Coturnix japonica: one gene and its partners. The protein of the gene in region 2 purifies or fractionates together with the protein of the main gene of each other region. This does not show direct contact. Links are inferred from orthologs where the notes say so. Each region holds a gene or a part of one and is shown on either strand. Other genes may lie near its edges.

What was found.
Region 1: the proteins of USP4 (region 2) and DCP1B purify together in Homo sapiens (co-immunoprecipitation; 3 studies listed by BioGRID and IntAct, with this or other methods). This does not show direct contact. The link is inferred for Coturnix japonica from reciprocal best matches to the Homo sapiens genes USP4 and DCP1B.
Region 3: the proteins of USP4 (region 2) and PRPF3 purify together in Homo sapiens (co-immunoprecipitation; 4 studies listed by BioGRID and IntAct, with this or other methods). This does not show direct contact. The link is inferred for Coturnix japonica from reciprocal best matches to the Homo sapiens genes USP4 and PRPF3.
Region 4: the proteins of USP4 (region 2) and RBBP8 purify together in Homo sapiens (affinity purification with western blotting; 3 studies listed by BioGRID, with this or other methods). This does not show direct contact. The link is inferred for Coturnix japonica from reciprocal best matches to the Homo sapiens genes USP4 and RBBP8.

The regions. Positions count from the first base shown.
Region 1 is NC_029516.1:51,562,269-51,568,134, forward strand, and holds the end of DCP1B (mRNA-decapping enzyme 1B), read left to right. Parts: intron 1-2,456; coding exon 2,457-2,705; intron 2,706-4,858; coding exon 4,859-4,939; 3' UTR 4,940-5,787; downstream 5,788-5,866. UniProt on the Homo sapiens protein: May play a role in the degradation of mRNAs, both in normal mRNA turnover and in nonsense-mediated mRNA decay. May remove the 7-methyl guanine cap structure from mRNA molecules, yielding a 5'-phosphorylated mRNA fragment and 7m-GDP.
Region 2 is NC_029527.1:1,667,963-1,673,828, forward strand, and holds part of USP4 (ubiquitin carboxyl-terminal hydrolase 4), read right to left. Parts: intron 4,101-5,866; coding exon 3,909-4,100; intron 3,392-3,908; coding exon 3,303-3,391; intron 2,932-3,302; coding exon 2,716-2,931; intron 2,633-2,715; coding exon 2,562-2,632; intron 1,992-2,561; coding exon 1,876-1,991; intron 1,302-1,875; coding exon 1,152-1,301; intron 875-1,151; coding exon 771-874; intron 545-770; coding exon 456-544; intron 326-455; coding exon 227-325; 3' UTR 1-226.
Region 3 is NC_029540.1:1,885,705-1,891,570, reverse strand, and holds part of PRPF3 (U4/U6 small nuclear ribonucleoprotein Prp3), read left to right. Parts: intron 1-1,183; exon of another isoform or gene 1,184-1,279; intron 1,280-2,108; coding exon 2,109-2,255; intron 2,256-2,728; coding exon 2,729-2,812; intron 2,813-2,907; coding exon 2,908-3,128; intron 3,129-3,494; coding exon 3,495-3,801; intron 3,802-4,479; coding exon 4,480-4,646; intron 4,647-5,210; coding exon 5,211-5,293; intron 5,294-5,571; coding exon 5,572-5,715; intron 5,716-5,866. UniProt on the Homo sapiens protein: Plays a role in pre-mRNA splicing as component of the U4/U6-U5 tri-snRNP complex that is involved in spliceosome assembly, and as component of the precatalytic spliceosome (spliceosome B complex).
Region 4 is NC_029517.1:92,793,001-92,798,866, forward strand, and holds part of RBBP8 (DNA endonuclease RBBP8), read left to right. Parts: coding exon 1-214; intron 215-295; coding exon 296-422; intron 423-923; coding exon 924-1,021; intron 1,022-1,906; coding exon 1,907-2,021; intron 2,022-2,804; coding exon 2,805-2,975; intron 2,976-3,747; coding exon 3,748-3,817; intron 3,818-4,829; coding exon 4,830-4,926; intron 4,927-5,866. UniProt on the Homo sapiens protein: Endonuclease that cooperates with the MRE11-RAD50-NBN (MRN) complex in DNA-end resection, the first step of double-strand break (DSB) repair through the homologous recombination (HR) pathway.

The DNA of each region.
Region 1 (5,866 bases), on a different chromosome or scaffold from region 2:
ACTGTTCTCAGCTCTAAATAACGCCCCTATAACCAGCCTGTGGCATCCCTTGGGTGCTGATATTCCAGAGGAGTGCTTGATGCAAGTGGAATTCTGCACATGCAGAAAGGGGAAGCAGGGCCAGGTCCCAGTATCCATTACAGGAGAGCCATGCGTTTCTTAGTGCGTGGTGTTATGTGAATTTGCTACTTGTAATGTCATCTAGCTGCTAACAGCCATGCAGAATATCAGACATATCCTAGTGAGCATTTGTGCTTCAGAGGAGGAATAATACATGCTGCAGTGACTATCTTGCACATTTTTCATTGTTCTTACTTTATTGCTGCACAACTGGCAGTAGACTCCCACTCTGTTATTAGTGACTCAGAGATTTAAGTGTTGACCTGAAAAAGCTGGAGCTAATTCAGGGAAGGCTGGATGCATGAGCAGCTTGTGTTAGGTTTCATGAGAAAGAAGGGGATCAGTAGTGTATTGGAAAGGCTGTTATGCCTTGTACAAAATTACTCAAGGCTAAAAGACTGGTTTGAAGGCTCTGTGTCCCTACAGAGCGTTTCCAGTGCTCTCAGCAAAAGCTTTGCTCTATAGGAATCACACTAGCAACGCTAATCTGGTGCCCTACATTTGCTGATGGACATCAATTGTCAGGTGGCTGGAGGTGATCTGAATCTAAACTGAAAAATTGACTTTATGGTTTAAAAGGCAACCATCTGGTTTACATGTAGGTTTCTTAAATGGCAGAAGCTTTGAGCATGATCTCTTGGCAGAAGAAAATACACTGTAATGTTTGCACACAAAAGCAGTTAGTATGGGCTGAAAATAAAAGATACGTGTATTTTCTGCTGAGGCAAACACTTGAAATACTGCAGTAACCTGTCGGTATTAGCTCAGTCACCAGTAGATGGCAATATTGCTTATTCCATATACCATCCATATGATTGGAAAACTACGAAGAAGCTGTTTTTATCCAGAAATAAAAAACAGTTTTTGATATGTCTGTTAAAACAAAACACATGTATGTTTGACAGTAGTAACTATTTGTTGCATAATTTGTGTTAGGTTACGTTTGTCTCAGACTCTAGAGAGGAGTGTTTTGATTTCAGAGGACTTATCGTTTAAATCTTTGACATCGTCAGTCTTAGGTTTCTCTGTCTTAGTGAGACGATTTACCTCCTCCAGCTGCTCCCCACCACTCCTTTGCTGGAGGCTCCTACCCTGCAGAGCAGTTTTTATATGCATTCTTTAAATTGTTCATTAGGAAAAATCATCTGATTTAAGGTAACCCACCAGTTTTACTTGAGATTAAGAGTAGCTATTCAAGCTACATGGATGAGTAGGTCAGAGATGTTGTCATGAGCATCTGGGGGCAGCCAGTCTTCTACTGGCATATCTTCAGGAGAATGTGTGCACACGCTGAAGGTCTGAATCTACATTGGTACGTCCCTATGGACTTCTGATGGTTTTCATAGTTTCATAGTTTCATAGTTTCATAGTTTCATAATTTCGTGCGGGTTGGAAGGGACTTTAGAGATCATCGAGTCCGGCCCCCGGGATTCGAGCCTCTGTGTAGCAGAGCGGCACTTCTACCACTTGCGCCACAGGGGGGATTCGAACTCCGGGCCCCAATAAGCACTGGTTTCTAAGCATATTACTAGGATTACCTTCAGAAAGTTTCAGTATCTACAAATTTAGTGAATAAAACATTTGCTAGTACTGACTAGTTCTGCAGGTTTTAGATTTCTGAGATTTATCACAAATTTTAAATGTAAAAATTCTTTGACACCGATATTTGCATGTTGGTATGGATATGACAGAGAGGGAACTTGCAGAACTCCAGCAGTGTCTGGGTTTTCCTTCTCTTTGAGGGCCATTTTGATTTTATAAGCTGAGAATCGGTTAGGAGTCAGTTCTATTTCTAATGGTGCCATCAGTTCACTGTAGGTCTTCAAATACATAATTTAATATCTGTTTTGTTTTACTTCTCCTTACATATAAAGAGAATTACATTATACGTGTGTGTGCATGCATGTGTACATGTATGCATATATACATAAAGACAGCAGTTTGAAAGTAGTAATTGGCAAATATTTTCTATTATTAGATACCAAGACTGAGCTTTACTTTTGGTATTTGCAAGTAAGAAAGAATATTATCAAACTTCAGGGCTTACTGGCCTGATGGAAAACTTTACAGCTAAAAGTACTCATTATTTAATAATAGTGTTTGCCTGACAGGTAGGCTGTATCGCATTTGAACCCATGACTGTGTTCTCAGTTTGGATGGAGGACCTTTTAACCTGGAACTGAATCATACAGGAGTCCTGAACCGGAGGTTCATGGAACTGGACCGATCTCCCACAATTTCTGTACTTGTTGCAAATCAGTCTGCATCTTTAATCATCTTAATTCCTATAGAATTGATTGAACAGGTTATTTAATTGATATTTTTTATGTGGACAGGTAATCTCACCTCAGCGCATTCCTGCTACTGTGACTCCTACCTTATTGATGTCCCCAATGGTGTTCACTCAGCCCACACCTGCTGCACCAAAAGCCAACGAAGGTGGGCGGTTAGCAGCATCAAACCAAGAACCTGCTGCTAGCTCTGCTAACCTTCTCCTACCACTGCAAACCCCAGAGCCACCTGTGATCAACAGCAGCTCAGTGACAAAGATGCAGCTGCAGGAAACACTTCTACACTTGATCCAGGTAAAGTGCCACAAGTTTTTCTACTTCAATTTAAACCTTTATTACCATTTCGATATGAGCACCTGGTCACCTAAGCACCTGGGCATCTAATGAGTTTTGTATATGTGCCTAGATGGATAATTAAGTATGTGCTGGAAGCTTTTTATGGCTGTGTTAATTGAGTACTATTCCACAGAGTAGGAAGGTGATAGCATCTTCTTGCTTACTGTTAGCTTAAATGCACTCTGATTAATCAATGTAGTTTGAGGTTAAGGAAAGATGATACAATTGAAGGAAAATAATAAAAATGACCGAAAGCTTCAAAAGGCTGTCCCAAGAGGTGGAAAGATACCTGTTGTATTTTTAGCAAAGTAAGGGGTGTTTATCTTAGCAGACAAATACTTCAAAGAGCAAGAAGAATTCAGATGGGAAGTGTGAGCAACTTTAAAATATGGGTTAGGTAACCTAAAAGCGTGCTAGTTCAATCTATTCTATATAATTCTCTACTTGAAATGCTGAATTTCCTCTTGCTAGAATTATTCAAGTTTAAATCTGACAAAGCATTAACAGCATGTAGGAGATGACTGTTTACTGCTCTGTGATTATGTGAATTATGATTTTTTTTTTCAGTAACTTACTGTGAAATTAATACCTGAAGAGTAGAGACTGTAGAATTAAAGAACTGGCTATAGTGTGTAATGAATGGAGGCACGGGTTGAAGTGTCCAGTTTGTAGGCCAAACTATGCCTATGTGGCTTGGCAATAGAATATGCCTTTATTGGAATGCTGAAGTGAGTCACATAAAATGAAGTTTAAATTATAGATCTATAAATAAAATAGTGTCTTTAAGGCATTAGATGTTCATCTCATTTCCCTCCTTATTTTTATGTTGGGTCTAAAAAGAAAAATACTGTAATATTCTGTCTTACGTACATGGAATATCTGGATAATAGGAAAGCCATGTATGAAATTAAAAAGGAGAAAACAAGATTCTGTGCACTGAAACTGTATCTGTAAAATGCATGTTCGGTTGCGCTGTTCTTGATGACAGCTGGGATTAACTGTGTTACCTGGAAATTATTTACTGTTTAATAACGGGATGCTGATTGCTAGTTCCTTAGCTATCATTTTCTGTTATATAACACTACAATCTCAGTTGCTCCTGGTTTTCCTCAAGGACTATCCTGATTTTAATTATCTTCATATGTTTATGTAAGCTACTTAAGACATCTTTTCTTAGTGTGAAATTGCCAGCTCTTGCAAAAAACGGTCTTCTAAAGAGAAAAGTTAAACGTGCATCAGAACAAAAGGAGCAGAGCGTGGTGGAAGCATTAAGACTAAAATAATTAAACAGTCTAATATTGGTCGGACAAAGGGGCAATGGCTTTAAACTAAAAGAGGGGAAACTAAAAGAGAGTGAGATGTTAAGAAGTAATTTGTTACTCAGAGAGTGGTGAGCCCTGGTACAGGCTGCCCAGAGAAGATGTGGGTGCTCCATCCTTGGAGGCGCTCAAGGCAAGGTTGGATGGGTGGCAGCTCTGCCCATGGCAGGGAGTTGGAACTGGATGAACTTTAAGTTACTTCAAACCCAAGTCATCCTGTGATAAACAGGATGAAAGTGTTTGCCCAGGTGGGATTTAGTATAGGAGCAAAACCCAAAGTGTTCCACTGTTCCTTCAGAGACACAATAATCAATGAACTAATGGAAGAAACTTAAGGAAACTGTTTGGTAAATGGGGGCAAAGAAAAGCAATTACAGGATTATGTCATAGAATCATAGAATCCTCAGAGTTGGTAGGGGCCCTTAAAGGTCATATTGTGCAACACCCTTGCAATGAACAGGGGCATTAGATCAGGTTAGTTAGATCAGGTTGCTCCGAGCCTGTACTCTCTACAGTATCATGCAAGAACAGCATACTCAAGATAAATCAGTGTGAGTTTGGAAAGCTTACTTTCTATCTATTCATTACTGCTTATAGAGTCGTGCTTCCCATCCAGTTATATATTACATCCAAGCCATAGAATGTATGCCTGAAAAGGAAATACCCCTTCTGTTGTGTGCTTCTAAGATAGAGCAAGGTTGAAAAGTATTTTGTCTGTGAAATGGAAGTAAAACCTTATCTGTTTACTCAGTAATGTCTCCTTGGTAGTAACGATTGTGTTTTGTTTTTCAGAACGACGACAACTTCTTAAACATTATTTATGAAGCGTATCTCTTCAGTGTGAGAAAGGCAGCAATGAAGAAATCCATGTGAAAGATGGTTGCTTTTTAATTTCTGTTACTTTCTGAATCCCAGGAAAAAGGCTTCCAAATTTTCAAGTAATGTCCCATTTAAAGAAATAAATGGTCTTGGGCATTTTGCATACACACAGATTTTGCTCCTTAGCAAGTCCATGTTGTACTTAGAAACAAGTGGGTGGAAATGGATTGTGCCTTCAGGGAGGGGAGCGTCACAGTGCTGAAAACTTAACCACACAATATTTGTCTTAGACTGGCCCATACTTAGAATTGGTTTTCCTGCATTAAGTCACCCTTCTCAGAACTCAGTTTCGTTTTTTCCTGACAGCGTGGTTATTCGTTGGCTGGGTGCCTTTCCTCCCCTGTCACACGCGACTTCTACGATGAACGATGCCCGTTTCTGACCACATGGTGGCAATGTTGGACTTTTTTTTTTTAAGGTAAATGAAGATCTGGTGGAATTTTGGAACTGAAAGTCTTAGGTAAACTGTTGTGTCACCTTACTTAGTTGTCTGCAGAGAGATTTAGAAGAAATGTCATGACTATCCCCGAAAATTTTGTAGAGAAATCTTTTTCTATTTTAATAGGAATATTTTTAGCTAGCCGTAGAAGTGGAACTCTGCAGCTGTTTTGATGAATTAGGGGGGAGGGTTTTGTTTGTGAATGTACTTGCTATCAGCATAGCTTTGGGGTGGCACTGGATTCATGTTTCTAATACTCCAGATCCAATCTGCATTACTATAAGCAACGTGCAGCTTTGTTAAGAGGGAGCAAAAGTTCTTTTTTTAAGTGTGGTTTTTTTTTTTCTGGAGCACGGTGGTTTCCTGGATCCATTTCTAAAGAAAATAAAATGGATAGTCCCTACATTGTGGTGATTTCATTTTGTTCTACAGTGGACCATATATTTAGAGTTGTTGGGATTGGTTGTACTTTTGTGACTTTA
Region 2 (5,866 bases):
AAGAACTTTATCAAAGCTCCAATATATATTATTTTTGGCCTCTAAATATCCGAGAGTCAGCACCTATTCCTGGCTCTCCGGTGCTGCTCTGTAACCCCAAGCACCGAATCTTTCAGTGCTAGATATTCTGCTCAACTCCTACAGAAGAAAGAAAAAACTTCAGATGCCTCAGAGATGGCTTTAGGAGGGACCTCTAACACGGCGGCCGAGTGCTGGAGGCGGTGCTTTAGTTGGTATCCATGCCGTCACACTCTTCTTGGGGAGGAGATGGGGCAACATGTTCCTCGTTTCGGCGCTGATAAAACAGCACATAGGCAGCTTTTGTCTACCAAACAAAAAGCAAAAGAATTGGAAAGACTGAAACAATCCATGTGGCTTGGCTAGAAACACAGTGCTCAAGGAAAGGGACCACACTTGCAGCATGAGCTCGGATTAGCTTCAGGCCAAGTACTCACCACTATTTGGTCTTCTGAAGCCAACGACACGCTGCTGTCATCAAAGTAGTACCACTTGCCATTCACCTTGTTCTTTGCATAGGCAGTGTCTGTTGGAAGAAGAAACTTCAGGTTCAGGGAAGCACTGCACCAGTGACATTCAAAACTCAAACCAACTGTGCAAGGCTGTCCAAGAGCTGCTTTCTACAGTTCCATGTTTGACACTGTACTAGAAAGCCTTGGTGAGGACCGCTGTAAATCACAGTGCACAGAGCCCCCCTCCAGTCCCTCCTTTGTACGTCCCTTGCATGAAAGAACAGGAAAACAATCACTCACAGTGGCCTACTCCCATGGCTCCATAGTGATTGGAAACTGCAATGAGGTCGTAGACATATGAGCTTCCTCTTGGGTCACAGACAAACTCAGACATGTTTAAACCCCTGGAAGAAAATCCAGAAATATCAGTATGCCAGCAATCTCTGCTTCCACATCAGTGAAGCTCTGTCAGCAGACAGCACTAGTGAAGCTAAGTGTTATGCTCTGATGCTCAACAGCTTGAAGTTTTCAGTGCCGAGACCCAAACATTAGCCCTGCCACACAGAGCAGGTCGTGGTAAACTCATGGGGTGCTGCAAAGTGATTGAGGGAGGGACCAAATGAATAACAGCTCTGAGCATCAGGTCTTCATATGAAAACTAGCTCAAAGGAAGGATCTTACCTGATAGGGAATTCAACAACAGTGTCAAGTTTATCCCTCCAGTATCTGCTGTATGAGAAGCGTTTTAGATGCACTACCAAAATCTTGGGCAGTGACCACAAGTCAAACTTCTTTGTGGCCTGCTGATGCTTCTTACAGTTAGGGCAATACCTGAGGAAAAAAAGTAAAAATAAGAAACCTGAAAGATGTCAGAGGATACATCAATCGTGTGGTTCAGTCCCTGCCTCACAGAAGACCATTTTGGCTTACGGAACATCCAGTTCCTTGGAGGTTTCCAAACTACCTCTTACTTTCACTCTGCTGCTAAAACATCCTACTGGATGAAAAGGGATCTCAGTAAAACTAAGAGTGCTTCAGGACTGGTACAAGCTGCAAATAAAATAGTGCAGAACCAAGCACTATAAAGTAGCCAGCTGCTCTCACTGCTATCACAAATGCTTCCTCTGATGCTGTCTGAAAGTCAGACGTATGGTGGGGGATCAAAAATAGATCAATCTCTACATACACAGTGCCTTTTTTAAATGCAGGCAGGAAACAAGGAAAAAATACACCCCTTATTAGCCCATGCCTGCAGCCTACTCAGTCAATGACTGACCATAAAACAGACACATCCCACAGACTAAAAGACAAACATGGGAAATGATCAGAATCCTGGGACAAATCATCTGATCTCAAGCAGTTACAGATTTTTATAATAAATAAAAAGGGAGAAAGAAGCTCTTACCAAGGGTCGTGTTCACCCAGAGTTTCCATTGTAGTAAAGAGCTCTATGCAGTCTTTAAGGGCTACCACTGCCTTCATCTTCTGTGGTTGTAACACACTTGCATGCTTTTCAAATGCCTAGTGAAAGAGATGCAAGTTTTATTCAATTCACATAGACTTTAATCCCTGCCACTGTGAAAATGAACGTGCCCAAGTTCACACTGCTGGAACAACCAAAACATGCTAAATCATTGTGGCACATGCTAAATGTATTGAAGTGATTGACAGAAACCAGAATGATACTGGGGCAAAGAAGCTACCAACTCCCAGAGGAGCAATCATGGTTGACACTGACCTTCAAGTGAGCTAGCTCTCATCTCCAAGCCACTCAATTGCTTAAGTGTGGTCTCTTAGTAAGGAGAAGGTTCTGTGTGTGTGGTTTTCTGCTTATTAATTTGAGTAGATTATGAACTAGACAACTTAGAAATTAAAGTTTCTACCTTTAGGAACACTGGTAGCAGACGAACAGTAACAGATCTGCAGGTCTTATCTTGACCAACTCACCCCATGTTGTTGACTGCAGCCTCTGGGCAGAGGGCCACACAATTTCAGCTGTTTATTACTGTGATCTATTGAAGTATCATGCTGTGTACTATGGCATGCACTAAGTTTACACATAAAACACTTATGAAAAGAGCATACTACAACCTGTGCCTCCTGTTCATCAAAGAGCAGCCTCCGTGTTTCAGAATCCCAGTCAATAGCAAGCGTAGAAAAAGCTAGAAGAAACAAGAAAAAACTTTTGCTGCCCATTTGTTGGAGGAAGGAGGAAGAAGAGGAAGGATAACAGGACAATAGTTACCATTCAATTTCAAGAGTTTTCCTTCTACAATAGAGTTTATCTCAGAGGTCCCGTATAAATTCACAAGGCTGAAAGTGAAATACTGCTTCTTACAAGGCTGCAGGCCTCTCGTTGGCTCAACCTGCATGCAGCCCTCAGAGGGGCAGGAATCAACTTCTGCCAGCTTCTCCCTGCCTTCCTGGCCATCATCCTGATGCTCCATCTCTTCAATGTCACCTGGCAAAATGTAAAACAAGCCCAATATTGAAGCCCGTCAGTGAAAAGTTCAGACTGAAGCTGTATTTTATCCCTTACCAAGGCCAGGAAAAACATCAGGGTTCACATCCTATTGTCAGGCATGATGAAATACACTCAATCAACATAGGTTAACACATCACACCATCTGACAGCACACTCTAAGAAACATCCCAAAAGGCTGCATTTGGTCGTTTTCATAGTAAGGCAGCCCTCTGCCACAGTGCTATATCATCATTATGTAGAGCTAAAAATAACTGCAGGAGCTCAAGCCAATTACACACAGCACAAACAACATGATAACAAGAGCTTCAAGACCAAAATGCTTCCAAGTAATTCTGAAAAGACTTTACCTTCAGCCACACTGCTGGAGCCATTGCATGCTCCTCTGTCTGGACAAGGTGCGGAGTATACTTCTGCCACAGGGAGTTTCACATAGCGACTTAACAGAGGGAACATTTTAATTCCACAATTGTAACAAAACAGTACATCACAACAACTGCACCCTCCCCGTCAATCCCCTTGGTGAGCCACAATTTATTATGCACAGCATCAAAAGCTCTCAAACAAAACCAACTCGGAAAGTCTACGTTCTCACTGCTTGTACCGAGTTTAACAGGTGTTAGATGGGAAATACAAAAACAAGTTATGGTGACCCACATGAGAGCCCTCACATTTCCCACGCAGTGCTTCTGATCTGTTTTGCAGCACCAAGCATGTAACTTCCCATGGGACCACCATCTGTATTATGTAATGGGAAGCTTTTACAGAGCCCAGACAACCAGGACCTCAGGACATCCCTGTGGCCTCCAGGCAGTAGCACAATGCAAACACTGGTTGGTACCCCAGAGACAAATCCAGGAAAGATCTTCCTATCAAAAAGGATGCAGTGATCCTGGCATAGTCTAATTCAGTGAGCTAACACTAGAATTTTGCACTAAGGTACAGATGTGACTTACCTGATCCGCTCCAAAACGACACCGTACAAGTGATCCACAGTGAGCTTGTGTTTTGGCACAGATACCAGCAGTGGTTGACCAAAGAGCACAGTCCCTGAAGTGCTGCTGGATTGCCTCGCTGCCTTTTCCCGAAAGTAAACAGACAAAGTAATGTACTCTGAGCCATCTTCACTTGGCTTGCAGACTTCATATCTGTTCAAAAGACAGGCATGTCCACAGGTTATTTCTACTGCCAAGAAGCACAGCAGGCAGAACCAATATCAAGTCAGTCCAACAACTCTGTCTGCCAGGATCACTTGAGGACAATAAGGGTTGTACTCCGTGTACACTTGACTGCACTAAATGAACTTTTAGATCACCAAAACAAGGTTTGTTCTGTCTGAAGAAAGAAACCTTCTCAGTTCCTTAGGTCTTACATTCCCCCCGAGCCTCCTGCTCCATTTCAGGTCTGAGCTTAAATCACCAACCAGACAAGGCTTCAGAAAACCAAGAGTATGGAAACATCTGCTTTACAGAAAAATCCAGGAGAAAACATTCTGGAAGAGAAGCAGCTCCAGAGAGCAGAGAGAACACTGAGATGCAATTTGTGCTGCTGCGTGCAACAGAAAAACCAGGTATTCGCAAATAGAAGAGTCAAAAGGAACCACATGGTGCAATTGTACTGCGTTTCTCACTCCCTATGTGAGTTTCAAGACTATTCAGCATAAAGGACTTATCCCATGATTTCCACCTCACAGTGCTCTTCAGCCTGGTGAGCTGCCTGCTCCAGACTCATCTTAAAACTGAAAAAAGAAAGGTTTCATGAAAGCTGTCACTACACATAACTGAGATGACAGTCACACATCTGGACATACTGTCACAGGTTAACCATGACACATACCCACAGCTCTTGCACATTAGAGATGCCAGTTCCTTTCTTGCAAGAGCCAAGAAACAGGTTTCTGTTTCTATGTTCAGCACACCCTTGCAGAGCATGGAGTGGAACAAATTTCAGAGTTGCAGTTCTGCTCTGTCCCACTTAAACAAAAGCCCAGCTCCCAGCTCAAGGCCACGAAGAAAAATACCCCTCCAAGAACAGAAGAGACAAGAAGTGGATCTAACAGCTTGATAAGAATGGCTGTTGTGTTTTCTATGCCATCAGCACTGTCCAGTTAGACAACAGCACTATAAAGAGAACTACTGCACTTAGTACTGTAACACTCAGTCACAGAAGTATCACTTACAGTTAATTCCACGTTCCAGGAGACCCTCTGGGCTGGTCTCCCACAAAGCAGACCAGCACACAACATGCCCAAGGTGCCTACATTCCTCAGCATTCCAATGACTGATTCCAGTTCTCACTGGTGGTGGTGTGAGAGACACCACCTCCAATGCTGATCAGAGGAGCCCCCAGCAATACTCCATCCTCACACAGGTCCTGAATGAAGCCCTGCCTCTGTGATGGCACAGATAGGATTGAATAAGCTAAGGATTACTCATATATCTCACAAACAGCCTGCATGCCCTCTGCCTACTTCCTCACAGAACAGCTTTTACCCCAGCATTAGAGATGTCTCAGAGCCAGCAGAGCTGATACTATAAACCTATAGGGCTACATCAGACTATACAACTGATGGGTACAGGCCAGCTGCCTTTATAAGTCACAACAAGTCTGCAAAGTGCCTGAAAACAGCTAAGTGACAGTAAATCAGGATGGCTTTGATCAGCCTTCAGCCTGCAAAGCAGCAGGAAGCTTCAGGCTACAGCTGCCACTCAGAAAGGAGGCACCGAGCAATGAAGCAGCTAACTTTTGTCCCCCAGTAAATTAATGTCAAGCAAATGCACGGGAGCATGGAAAACTAGAGAAGGACTATAGGAAAGGCCACTAATAGCAGGAAAGGCTCTCAGCTAAATACCAACCTAAAATATTTATATATTAACTATAACCCTATAGTATGCTATTCAAAAACTCTCTCCAA
Region 3 (5,866 bases), on a different chromosome or scaffold from region 2:
TTTAAGCAGTTTCTATCCTGCCTGTTTCAGTACAGCAGCAGCAGTGCAACCTCATTCATTGATCTGGAGAGGGCTGGATTTTGGGTCTCCCAGTGAATGTTATAGCTTAAAGGACTACAGGTTTCTGCAGCTTTCTTGAACAGTGATGCCAATAAGCATCTACCAAATGTTTCTGTTCTGTGGTTCCACTTTAATTTGGGTTTTAGCCTGGTACACACACTTGTCATGCCACGCTGCCACTATAAAGCAAGATTTTGACTAGGCTGTTTTTCTGCTAGCTGTGCCCCCTCAATGCTTTTGCTTTTGACCTCTTGTGGATATGGAAGAGAGATAGTAACATCATGCATTGTATTGCTGCATAGTACTCTGTGGTGATAAGACCTCCTGCCACAGCATTATAGGGAGATTTGTACTGTCCTGTGGCACTGCTAACATGCACAGATCCCACACTTCTTCAGAAGTTAAATTCAGAGTTAACATGTTATTGCACCTGGCTTCAAACTGTCTTGTCCTCTCATCTTCCTTGTGGCAGTGGCCAGTGCACTGCAGAACAGGGGGAGGGGAGGGAGCAGCATCCTGTTGCAGCCTGGCAAGCTGTCTCACACTGCACATTGAGGCAGGGATGTGGCTGGGTGTGGGGTTGGTGACTTTTCTCCAGTGAAACACCTGCTTGGGTATCCTACATGACCACAGATAGTTGATGGTGTTCTTGGCTTCTAAACTGACCCAAAGCAGGCCTGGGATGCAGCAGAGCAGACCTATCCTCATCTCTTGGCTCCTGGTATGGAGACAGGCATCCAACCTGCCTTTCTCATCAGCTCCTGTCTCTGGAATTACATCTTGGAGATCCTTTGTCAAGATCTGTCCTCACCCTTTTGTAGAGTGAAATGGTTAATTGAGGCTGTCAGATCCTGATCCTGCATAGAATGAATTTTCCCACCACCACTTCATGTCTCAGAGTTGAATTTATACTTACACACTTAGCTCTATAGCATCAGGAAGTGAAATAATTCAGGATGGTACTTTCTAGTCATATTAGATGTCTTCAGCATTCCACCCAGCCTTTCTTCTCTCTCTGGTTAACTCTTGTGGGGTAGGTCATTGCTTGGGAAGTTTCAGGAACTAAAACGTAATGGTTTACACACTTTATACTATGGGCAAGTCCTTTCTCTTGAACTTGTAGGTTTTCCAAGAAGTACCTGTCTCTGGATGAGGATGTGTCCTTGTAGAATATGAACCATTATAGTGAAGAAGGGATTTCAACTAACGCTTACAACCGGTTTGTATATTTTCATTTCCAATAACGCTCTCACACACAATGCAGGAACACAATTGCATGGACAAATCCAGTTCACCATACACAAAACTGGCACTGACTAAATGAAATCCATAACCACCAACAACACAAGCTGGGGAGTGCTTGAATGGCACGGAACTCTGTGTGAAGCACACTTTTCTTTTTGGGAGATGGACACTTAATGCATTAAGTCCATCAGTGAGATCAGTCCTCCACTTGCTCTCTGAGCTGTGCTTCTTAAAAGCAACTTAGCTCTGGCTCAGAGCTGGATCCTACTGGATCAGGCTGTAAGGAGATGCTGTGGGTATCTCCCTGCCTCCAGGGTTTGGGACTGTGTTCTCCCTTTGGTCAGAACACAGTAGGATGGGAGCAGCTTTTGTTTTCACCCCCTCTGAAGTTGACTGAAAATACAAGTACCCTTAAGACCTGGTCACGCTAAGGTGTACAGGCTTTCTCCACCTCTCTGAGTAGCTGAGTGAGATCTTACATCTCCTCAATTCCTAATATCCCATGACCACATAAGAAAGCAATGGTGGCTTTTACACAGGTGTATCCCTGGAGTGTCTCCTGTTCTTTAAACTGCTGGATGGATCATCATTGATGCTTCTTTTGTGGGGAACCAGGGCACAGACTTCATGTGGGACTACCAGTTAGGGCAACCTGTGAGTGCCACCCTGGAAACTCAGACACTGCACTGCTGACCTTTCAGTGCTGGATTTGATTCTCATGGTGGTTTCTTGTCCCAAAACAGTGTTGATGATGGAAATTCTTAGCTTTTAATCACTTTTGTTTCTCTCTCCTTTTACCTCAGGATGTTTTTGGTGATGACTCTGAGGTATCCAAAGAATCTTCCGGTGTCAAGAAACGGCGCATACCACGATTTGAGGAGGTTGAGGATGAGCCTGAAGTTATTCCAGGCCCGCCATCAGAAAGCCCAGGAATGCTGACCAAGCTGCAGGTCAGTCTGACAGGGCTGTGTTACATCAGCTCTGTCTCCAGAACAGTGCTGTCTACCTCTGAGATCTCGAATCCTGATACAGTTAAATGTTTGTTTTATCCTGATTCACAAGCTGTGAAAGCAAATGGCAAGCTGCTTTTGGCCATCCTTTGTTTGCTGCAGTTGCTGCCCATCTTCTTTTCACAAAGCTCACTGCCTCTTATGCACTGGGCTAATGACAACATGGAGTCTTTAAGTGGGGAAAGTTTGGATGTTCACTTATAACCTGCAGTAACCAAGAGGAGAAAGTCTTAGTACCTGCACTGTTAGATTCCCTTCCTACAGCCAGCAGTCATCAGTTAAAGCAGCTTGATACAATTCTATTCTCATTAAGCTGCCTTGAGCTCATTTGCAGCTGTAAAAGGGCGCTGGTGACCTTTTCCCTCTTTCCAATAAAGTGGAGAAAAATTCACCATCCAATTTTGTTTCCACAGATCAAACAGATGATGGAAGCAGCCACCCGGCAGATCGAAGAGAGGAAAAAGCAGCTGAGCTTCATCAGTCCTCCAACACCACAGGTAGCTGCTGGATGCTGTGTAGCACACGGCTATGATGTGTTGACCTGAGTCTGTTAGAACAGCTGTGTAACAAAAAGTCATTTCTCTATCAACAGCCAAAAATTTCTTCTTCATCCCAATCGGAACGTCTCCCCATCGGCAACACGATCCAGCCCTCCCAGGCAGCAACCTTCATGAATGATGCCATTGAGAAGGCCAGGAAAGCTGCCGAGCTGCAGGCCCGAATTCAGGCTCAGTTGGCCTTGAAACCAGGGCTTATTGGCAATGCCAACATGGTGGGGCTGGCCAATTTGCACGCCATGGGGATCGCACCGCCGTGAGTAGCTGCTGTTTTTCTGAATGCTAATCCTGACAATGGAAGCTCCAGAGTGTTAATAGAAGGTGTAGCCAAAGGGTTTCCCCTATGCACCATCATTTCTAGCAGCTCTTTAGTGGCTGCTGAGGGAATGGATATGTTACAGAAGTGAAATGGAGGTTACTCCTGCCCTGAGTAACACTCAACTTCTCTGTACGTGAGATTTGAGTCCTTTCTGGCCTTGTAGATGAGAACTGAACAGTGCAAAGAAGCCATTTACAACATTTTCATGAGTTAAGAGGTCTGGTGCTTGCTATGGGAATATGGTTCTCAGTCCCTCTGAATTAATGCTAAAATCACACTGTAATGTCTTTGTTTTGCCACCAGGAAGGTAGAATTGAAGGATCAGACAAAGCCTACGCCACTGATCTTGGATGAACAAGGCCGAACTGTTGATGCGACTGGTAAAGAGATTGAATTGACTCACCGCATGCCAACCCTAAAAGCAAACATCAGAGCTGTGAAGAGAGAGCAGTTCAAACAGCAGCTTAAAGAAAAGCCCTCGGAAGATATGGAATCCAACACTTACTTTGACCCCCGGGTCTCCATAACCCCAGCCCAGCGTCAGAAACGCACCTTTAAGTTCCATGAAAAAGGCAAATTTGAGAAAATTGCCCAGAGGTTGCGAACGAAGGTATTTGAGGTCTTGCCATGCTAACTGACAGCACAGAAATGAGGGTTTGGTACAGGATAGGAGTTGATTCTCCTTTCCTGGGATGTGAAGGGAGCTGTGTTCACTTGATAAGAAGCTTTTTTGGTAAAGTCACACGTTGCTTTTTTTGTTAACGTTGTTCTTTATTGAAAAGGCAGATTTCCAAATGAGAATAGATTTGTGGAAGGCGCTTCCTCACTTGATAAAAGACAAAATCTGGTGGTTTGTTGTTCTGATTTGGCAAAGGATTTGGAAAATACCAAAGAGAATTGATAGTTCTCTGGCCAAGTCATCCTTCTACAGAAGTGGTCGCATTAGGGGTGTAGATTGAAAAAAATCTTGGTAAACTGCCCAAATATGTGGGGAAAATGGGAGAGAAGAGCTTCATTATGCAGAAAATCCCAGGGATGTGATGCCCAGAGAGACATTATTTGGGTTTCATTCTGTGCTCCAAGAAGGCTCAGTAATAACACCCAATTTTTAGCAAGTTTATTAGTAAAAGCACTTCATCATCTTGATTTGTGAGGTTTTCTCTGTGGTTTGCTTCAGATTTAAGCATATACATTTACATATTGGAAGATGCAAACATGCTACGCTTTTCCTGAAGCTGTGCTATTTGGGAATGACTTTTATGTGCCACTTTCCTCTCTTTGTTCTCAGGCTCAACTAGAAAAGCTGCAGGCGGAGATCTCTCAGGCTGCCAGAAAGACAGGAATACACACTTCTACCAAGTTGGCTCTTATTACCCCTAAAAAGGAGCTGAAGGAAGGGGAGATCCCAGAGATAGAGTGGTGGGACTCATACATCATCCCTAACGGCCTTGATCTGTAAGTGTTTTATGTACCAAGCTTGGACTGTTCTGCAGGAGGGAACTCTGGGAGTTTCTTGGGGATAATATGGGGCTTTCTGGTGCACTTTAGGCTGGACACATCTCCATGTGCTATTGAATTCTGCCACAGTCCCTGAGATACAGGCAGGCACTGGGTTTGCTCCCAGGTCTCTTCAGGGGTGTTGGTAGGCAGCTGCCCTTCTTCGAAGGCAGCATTCCTCCAGGGACTGAGCAGGTGACTGCCTTGCAGTCAGGGTGATTGTTTGGCCCGAGGTTGGTTGTGTGCTTTCTCAAGCACAGCTACAGGTTACTCACAAGTCTCATTCACATTTGAGCTGTGGCAAGCCTGTCTCTTAACTGAAATGTGTGTGGGTATTCCACCAGGGGTCATATCTATGCTGCATGCCTCTGTTTGATGCTTTGGGTAGAGGTTTGTGCATGTCAAATATCTGCCGTGATTTGTCCAAGGGAAGTGTTATTTTTTTTCCATGGCTTGTGTTTAAGGGAATGCAGGAATCCAGGCTGGGAGGTTTGCAATGATGCCCAACTCTCTCCTTTCTAGAAAAGGCGGAACATCTTCAAAGAAAGATGAATACTTTGGAATCACAAACCTCGTGGAGCACCCAGCACAGCTTAACCCACCAGGTACTGCCCTGTAGCACTCTGGTCTCAGACTATGCCCAATCTGGTTGACTAGATATAAAATACTCCATAAGGCTGACACTAGGCAGGGTGAACCAGCATGCTTGCCTCAGGCAACTGACTGTTGTGTCTCTTATCCTTGTGTAAAGTTAAGGAATCATATGAAAGTAAATATGAAAGTTCTGCAAAAACATCCAGAACTGAGAGGGGAGAGTTTCTGTCTGGTTTTCAAAAGGTTGGCATAACATTTGTTTTTATCTTGGCCTTGTTTCTCTTTGCAGTGGACAGTGACACACCAGTGACCTTGGGTGTTTATTTAACTAAGAAAGAGCAGAAGAAGTTACGGCGACAGACTCGGAGAGAAGCCCAGAAGGAGCTACAGGAGAAAGTCAGGCTGGGCCTGATGCCACCTCCAGAGCCCAAAGGTAAGTAACAGCTACAGAATGCAGAGAGCTGGGCTGATGCAGGCTGTTAGCTGTCAAACTGGGAATGTGGTTGGGAATTGCAGCAGGAGCCCATATAAGCATATGAACGTGCTGGGTGTATCTGTGAGATCTGACAGTTCTTCTCACATTT
Region 4 (5,866 bases), on a different chromosome or scaffold from region 2:
TCATGAGGGTTCATCGTCAGTTCAGAATGCCAACAACGAGAGGAGCTTGTTTGGCAGAGGTATGCAAGAGGAGCCCTACATACAAGAGGCGGTGCTGGCAAAAACATTTGCAGATACAAAAAAACAGATCCAAATGAAAGAAGAAGTCCCTCCCTTAAAAATTACACCACTGCCAAGTACTGTAGACACAGAACAACTTTTTAATGATGTGAAGGTATGTTTTTTCTCAGTTTTTCTTCTCTTGAAATGCTAAATGTAAATATTGGGAAACAATAAAATTGCAATATGTTGTTAGGTTGCCAGTGACCATGTACCAAACAGAAAGAAAACAAGGACAGGGCACGGAGAGTCTGAACCAGCATCTGTACTTCAACCAAACCCCTGTAGACTATCAAAAAATAAAGTACAGCCAAATGAGCAAGGTAATTCTTCATTTTAGTACCTTATCCTCATGGTTTATGCTACAGATGAATAGAATTCTTTATATCCTGCCTTTTCCCACATTGATCATTTTTCTGCTTCATATTTAGTCATTTTCTGTTCTGTGCTTCTCAAGATTTTCAGTTATAATCTTCTGTATCTCATTAGGCTTTACTTTAGTAATATCTTTCCCATATTCTTTTGTCACTGTATAATGAATATATCATTGACATTCAGCTGTAAACTCAACAAATAATGAATAATATTATATCTCATTTATTTAGCATGTTTGTCTGCACAGTGCCTTACTGCAGCACATGAATTACAGCTAGCTTAAACTCAGGCTTCCTGAAATCCTATTTCACTGTCTTATTTATTTATGTTAATTTTTGTTTTAAAAAAAAAAAAAGAGAGAGAGAGAGAGAGAGAAACAACAAACCCTGAAATGTTTTCTCTGAAGATTCAGAGTTTGGTTCTGATTTGTCTTTTCTTGTCATATTCAGACCTGAAAGAAAAACCTTTAGAAAACCTTCAGTGGAGCATAGACCCAGGAGCTGACCTTGCACAGTACAAAATGGATGTAACTGTGATTGATACAAAGGTGAGCCATCGCTTTGCAACAGGTTGGCATGTTCCATAATGTTGGACAAAAAGACTTTAGAAGTAATATCATGACCTTCATTCCAGGCAGATAAAACCTACTTGCTAACTAAAATCAATTTGGGACACATGATGCTTTTTCATGCTCCTATATAATGTTTGTTTATTCAGTTATCCTGTAGCATTTCAACTGTCTTGTTGTATTTGATAGACTTTGCCATGTGGTGGGTATTCAGGGTGAAACAGATGGACTTGATGGTATCTTAGAATTTTGTTGAACAGAAAAATGTTTTAAATCTCATGATTTTTCCAGTATGTCTGGAATAGACTACCCAGGGACACTGTGGATGCCCCATCCCTGGAGGTGTGGTGTTCAAGGCCAGGTTGGACGGGGCCCTGGGCAACCTGATCTAGTAAACATGGAAGTTTGGTGGCCCTGCCAGGCAGGGGGGTTGGAGCTTCATGATCCTTGAGGTCCCTTCCAACCTGGGTCATTGTGTGATTCTGTGATTTTTTTTCCCTGTGAAAACATTCATGAAGACATCTCTCTTTGTTAAGTAATAGAAGTTGTGCAGTTCATGACAATTGTCCTTATATTTGTGTACAGGTTGCCTATTAGAAATAGCAGGATGGCTGAGAATCCTCCTTTCTTTCTGAGAATTTGTTGGCTTTCTCTCAAATGAGATCTATCCTAATGTGTTTTTCTCTGTAGAATTTTAACATGAAAACTTAAAGCAGTTTCTTCTTGTCTAGCAAGTAATGTAATTTGCCAGACAAACGTCACTGTTCCTGGAAACTCTTTGGACAAAAATAGTTTTAGATGTATAGTAGTACTGTTGATTACAACAATTGCTTCTGGGTGTAATTGTCCTTTCTTTTTATTCAGGATGATTCTCAGTCAAGAATCGGAGGAGAAGTTGTTGATATGGATTATACATATGTTAGTGAAAGTGTGCTACTGAAAATGAAAAATCAAGAGCAAACACAGGAAAGCAGTCCAAGTAAGACTTTAATTTTTCCCCTCTTTGTTTTGATTTATTTATTTATTTATTGGGGGGGGGGAGGGGAAAAGAAAGGATGTTTTTTCCCCATATGTGATTAGACAATACAAACTGGCTTGCAGCAAAAAGCACACTTATTTTTTGCAGTTACAAAGATCAACCTGTCTCCTACTACAGTGGATAATGGTTGTTTCTTTGTTCAAACTTACATTCTCTAAACAAGGTTTGTTGTAAGACAAAGCCAAAACCATGCTTTTACCATGCTTAAACAGTTTTTTTCCCCTATGTTCTAGCCTGGAATGAGCATGCTTACCACTAAGTGCTTTGAAAGGCTGATAGATAATCATATCAGACTTCCTATGGAAAGTTATTTCTCATTTTTAATAGCATGCAATTAGAACTAGTATAGTTAAAATAAACTCAGATGTGTTTATATTGCATCTAACATATGATATATGGTGAATCACAGTTGCAGGGCCATGTCTTCTAACAGTGATTGTGTTCTGGTTTTTTCTTTGAGGGTGGTGCTTGTCATTCTTTGTTTTTTGGTCTCTTGTTTTTTGCTTGTTAGGGGTTGTTTGCTGTCGTTGCTTTGTTTCTGTTTCAAGATTTTGCATTATGTATTATTATTGAGTTAATCAGTACTGGAGCTGGAAGAAGATGCCAGTTCTTTATATACATTCAGTCAAAGCATCCCTTCTTTACTTAAATTGTTGGGACTGATTTGGAATGTTCGTTGCTCACGTGTTTTGTTGTGTTTTTTTTTTTTTTTCCCCACAATAGGAAGAGAAAAAAAAATGAATGATACCATAACAGAAATGTTTGATCGGACAGCTGATGAAGAATATGAATCATGCCTACCAGAAGATAGTCTTTCTGCATGTGATGAAAAAGAAACCGTGCATGGTGAAGAACTGGACAGAGGAATAACAGTAGCAAACAAGAAACTGAAGAGTGAGACATATGTTTATCTTTTATCTCTTCTTTATTAGTCTGGTCAGACTGCAAAAGTTGTAGTCAGGGTCTGTTCTATAGGAACGGATACGTCAAATCATAGAATCATAGAATTACCCAGGTTGGAAAAGACCTTGAAGATCAAGTCCAACCGCAGCCTAACCAGTACCCTAACTCTAAAAACCCTACACTAAATCATATCCCTGAGCACCACATCCAAACGGCTCTTAAACACAACCAGGGATGGCTGTGTTTAAATAAACTGTGAGTTCATTGTTCATAAGTTCATGGGATGATTCACTCATTGTAGTACATTAATATAACAGATACAAAAATTGTTCTGTTGATTCATCTATATTACACACATACAAATATGGGAGCTGCAATGGAAGTTGACATAGAAGCTGTACAACAGAATTACACCTAAGGAAAACACCAGTTTTTGGCTGTAGGTTAGGACTGTGATTTACTTGCTTTCTGTGTTCCCCACCTATATTGAGATTTCTCAGTATTTTGTATTTTAAGCAGCCTTTCCACTCCTATTCTGCTCATCTTATCTCACTGCTCTTTTTCTTCTTCCCCCCTAATGCTTTGCAATCATTGACCAACTAATTCTATATTATTTTTACTTTCTATTTGTATCTCCTACCTCAGAGCAGCATGAACATGGCTTTTGTTGTACTTAATGTCTCTAAAATGATTAGTAGGCTGTTTCAGCAGGCAGTCTTTTAACCTTATGTGACATGTGGCTTTTTGTTCTGTGTGTTTACAGAGCATGAGGATAAACAAGATAAAGCCAAACAGAAAGCTTTTGTGGAGCCATATTTCAAAAGCGATGAAAGGTAATTTGCCTAATATAAATAATAATAAAAGTAGTTTGTTTAACATGGGTATTCTAAGGGTATTTACTTTTTAAAGAGAACTTGTTCTGCCAGAGAACAAACCAGTTCATATGCAACTTATTAGCAGCTGAAGATGCGCAGGTAAAAAGATACTGTGAATTAGATAAAAGCTGAAGTAGAGGGGAAAAAAGACACACGTTAAGGAATATCAATTATATCTGTTGCAAAGGAAGGAATGATATTTCTGCTCTTTATAATCCCATTGAACGAAGTATTTTGTAATCCCTGTGGTTTCTTGTGGGCGTGTAGCCATGTGTGTGTTTATCATCAAAGAGCTGATGGGTCGCTTGTATAAATAAGAAAAAAGTTGTTATCTCTGGGCTTTTTTTTTCCTTCCTCTAGGCAATAAATGAGGGATGCAAAATAACTGTGTCTTGGGGCTTCCTTTGTTGCCTTTCTGCCTAATCATCATTGATAGTCTGGGTCTTCATAATGATACCAAGCCCTTCACTTTAATAATTACTGTCTTTTTATTTTAACATTGGCCTGTTTTCTTCACAGATAAAGAATTTGTTTGGTGTTTTGTGGTTTCAAGAGAGAGCATCTTATTTGAAAACAATCTTAGTTCAGTGTTTGAATATCTGCAGGAGGAATGTCCTGCTGTGATCAGTGCAGGATCTTCTGAGTCCCAAAATGTGTTCTTCAGAACTCACATTTTTGAGTAATTCAGATCAAGCCACTTTTATATGATGAAAAGCCATAAACACTTGCCATGCATATGTGTGGGTTTTTTTAAAGGATTTTATTGTATTTTTAAAACTCTGGAACTATTTTAATTACTAAAGTAATCATATTAAAGTATGAAATGTAGTATGTTTGGGTTTTGTGGATGCTGTGACTTTTTTAAGCTAACCATTATTTTATCCTAAAAGAAAAAAGTAAAAAAAGGGAAATTCTCAGACATGTAGAGGAAATAAATGCTTTATCATATGACAACATTTTTGTTTTTCAGGAAGAATACTATGTTAGATTTTCCTCATATTGAGGTGATTCGAAACAAAGAGGAAAGAAGAAAATTGCAAGGGCATACTTGTAAGGAATGTGAAATTGTAAGTAGTGTTGGTAGTTTTGGTCTTCTATGTGAAGGTATATGCAAACATACACAAAAAATTATATTACCAGGAGAATAGTATGGGGTTTTTCGTCTCTCCTTTACAAGTTTTTTCCTTTAAAATTACTGAACTGCTTACATATCATTTGAAGAAAGATACAATATTGACATAATTACATGCATAGAAAGGACATATTTAATTTGATTCTGAGAAGGCTGAGTTAGTTAGGGAATAATTTCATAAGTTAACATGCCAGAAGTGCTGATTAATGGCTGAATAATGATGGATTCTCTTAGGAGTCTTTTGGAACCAGTGCTGTTCATAGATCCTGCTGCTGGTCATTCTATAGCTAAGTTACATTTACTTAGCTGAAGAGATTTATTGGACTACGTTTTGGTCAAAAACATGTTCCTGAAAAATATCCTTGGTAAAACTCATTAAATTAGAATAATTTTTACAGTCAACAATAAATACCATTTTCAAAAATGTGCTTAATTCAGATAGTTTGAAAGAAAATGGGATATTGAAGGGAAGAAAAACCAAAACCTTTAGTCTATTTCTTGTCCCAGGAGCCACATGCTAGCTTTCAATTTCCTGCATCTGTAAGCTACAGATCAGTCAATCCAGTTCTTGTTACTTCCTGATAACTTAATTAGAGTGGTAATTCTGGAAACATTAATAGCCAGGATTTTTACAGTATTGGGTTTCTACATTCAGCCTTTAAAAAGGTTATATATATATATATTTATTTTTATTATTATTTTAAAGTCTAGGCCATTCAAGATGAATATCTTAGAATGTGAGGAATGCTTGGCAATAACACTGTAACATGCATGATAAAGCTACCTTTCAATGAAATGCCTGTGGGGAAAAAAAGGGAGTATTAGACAAAGCATAAGTAGTACTTTAAGAAGTCATGGCTTATTAGCCAGAAGGT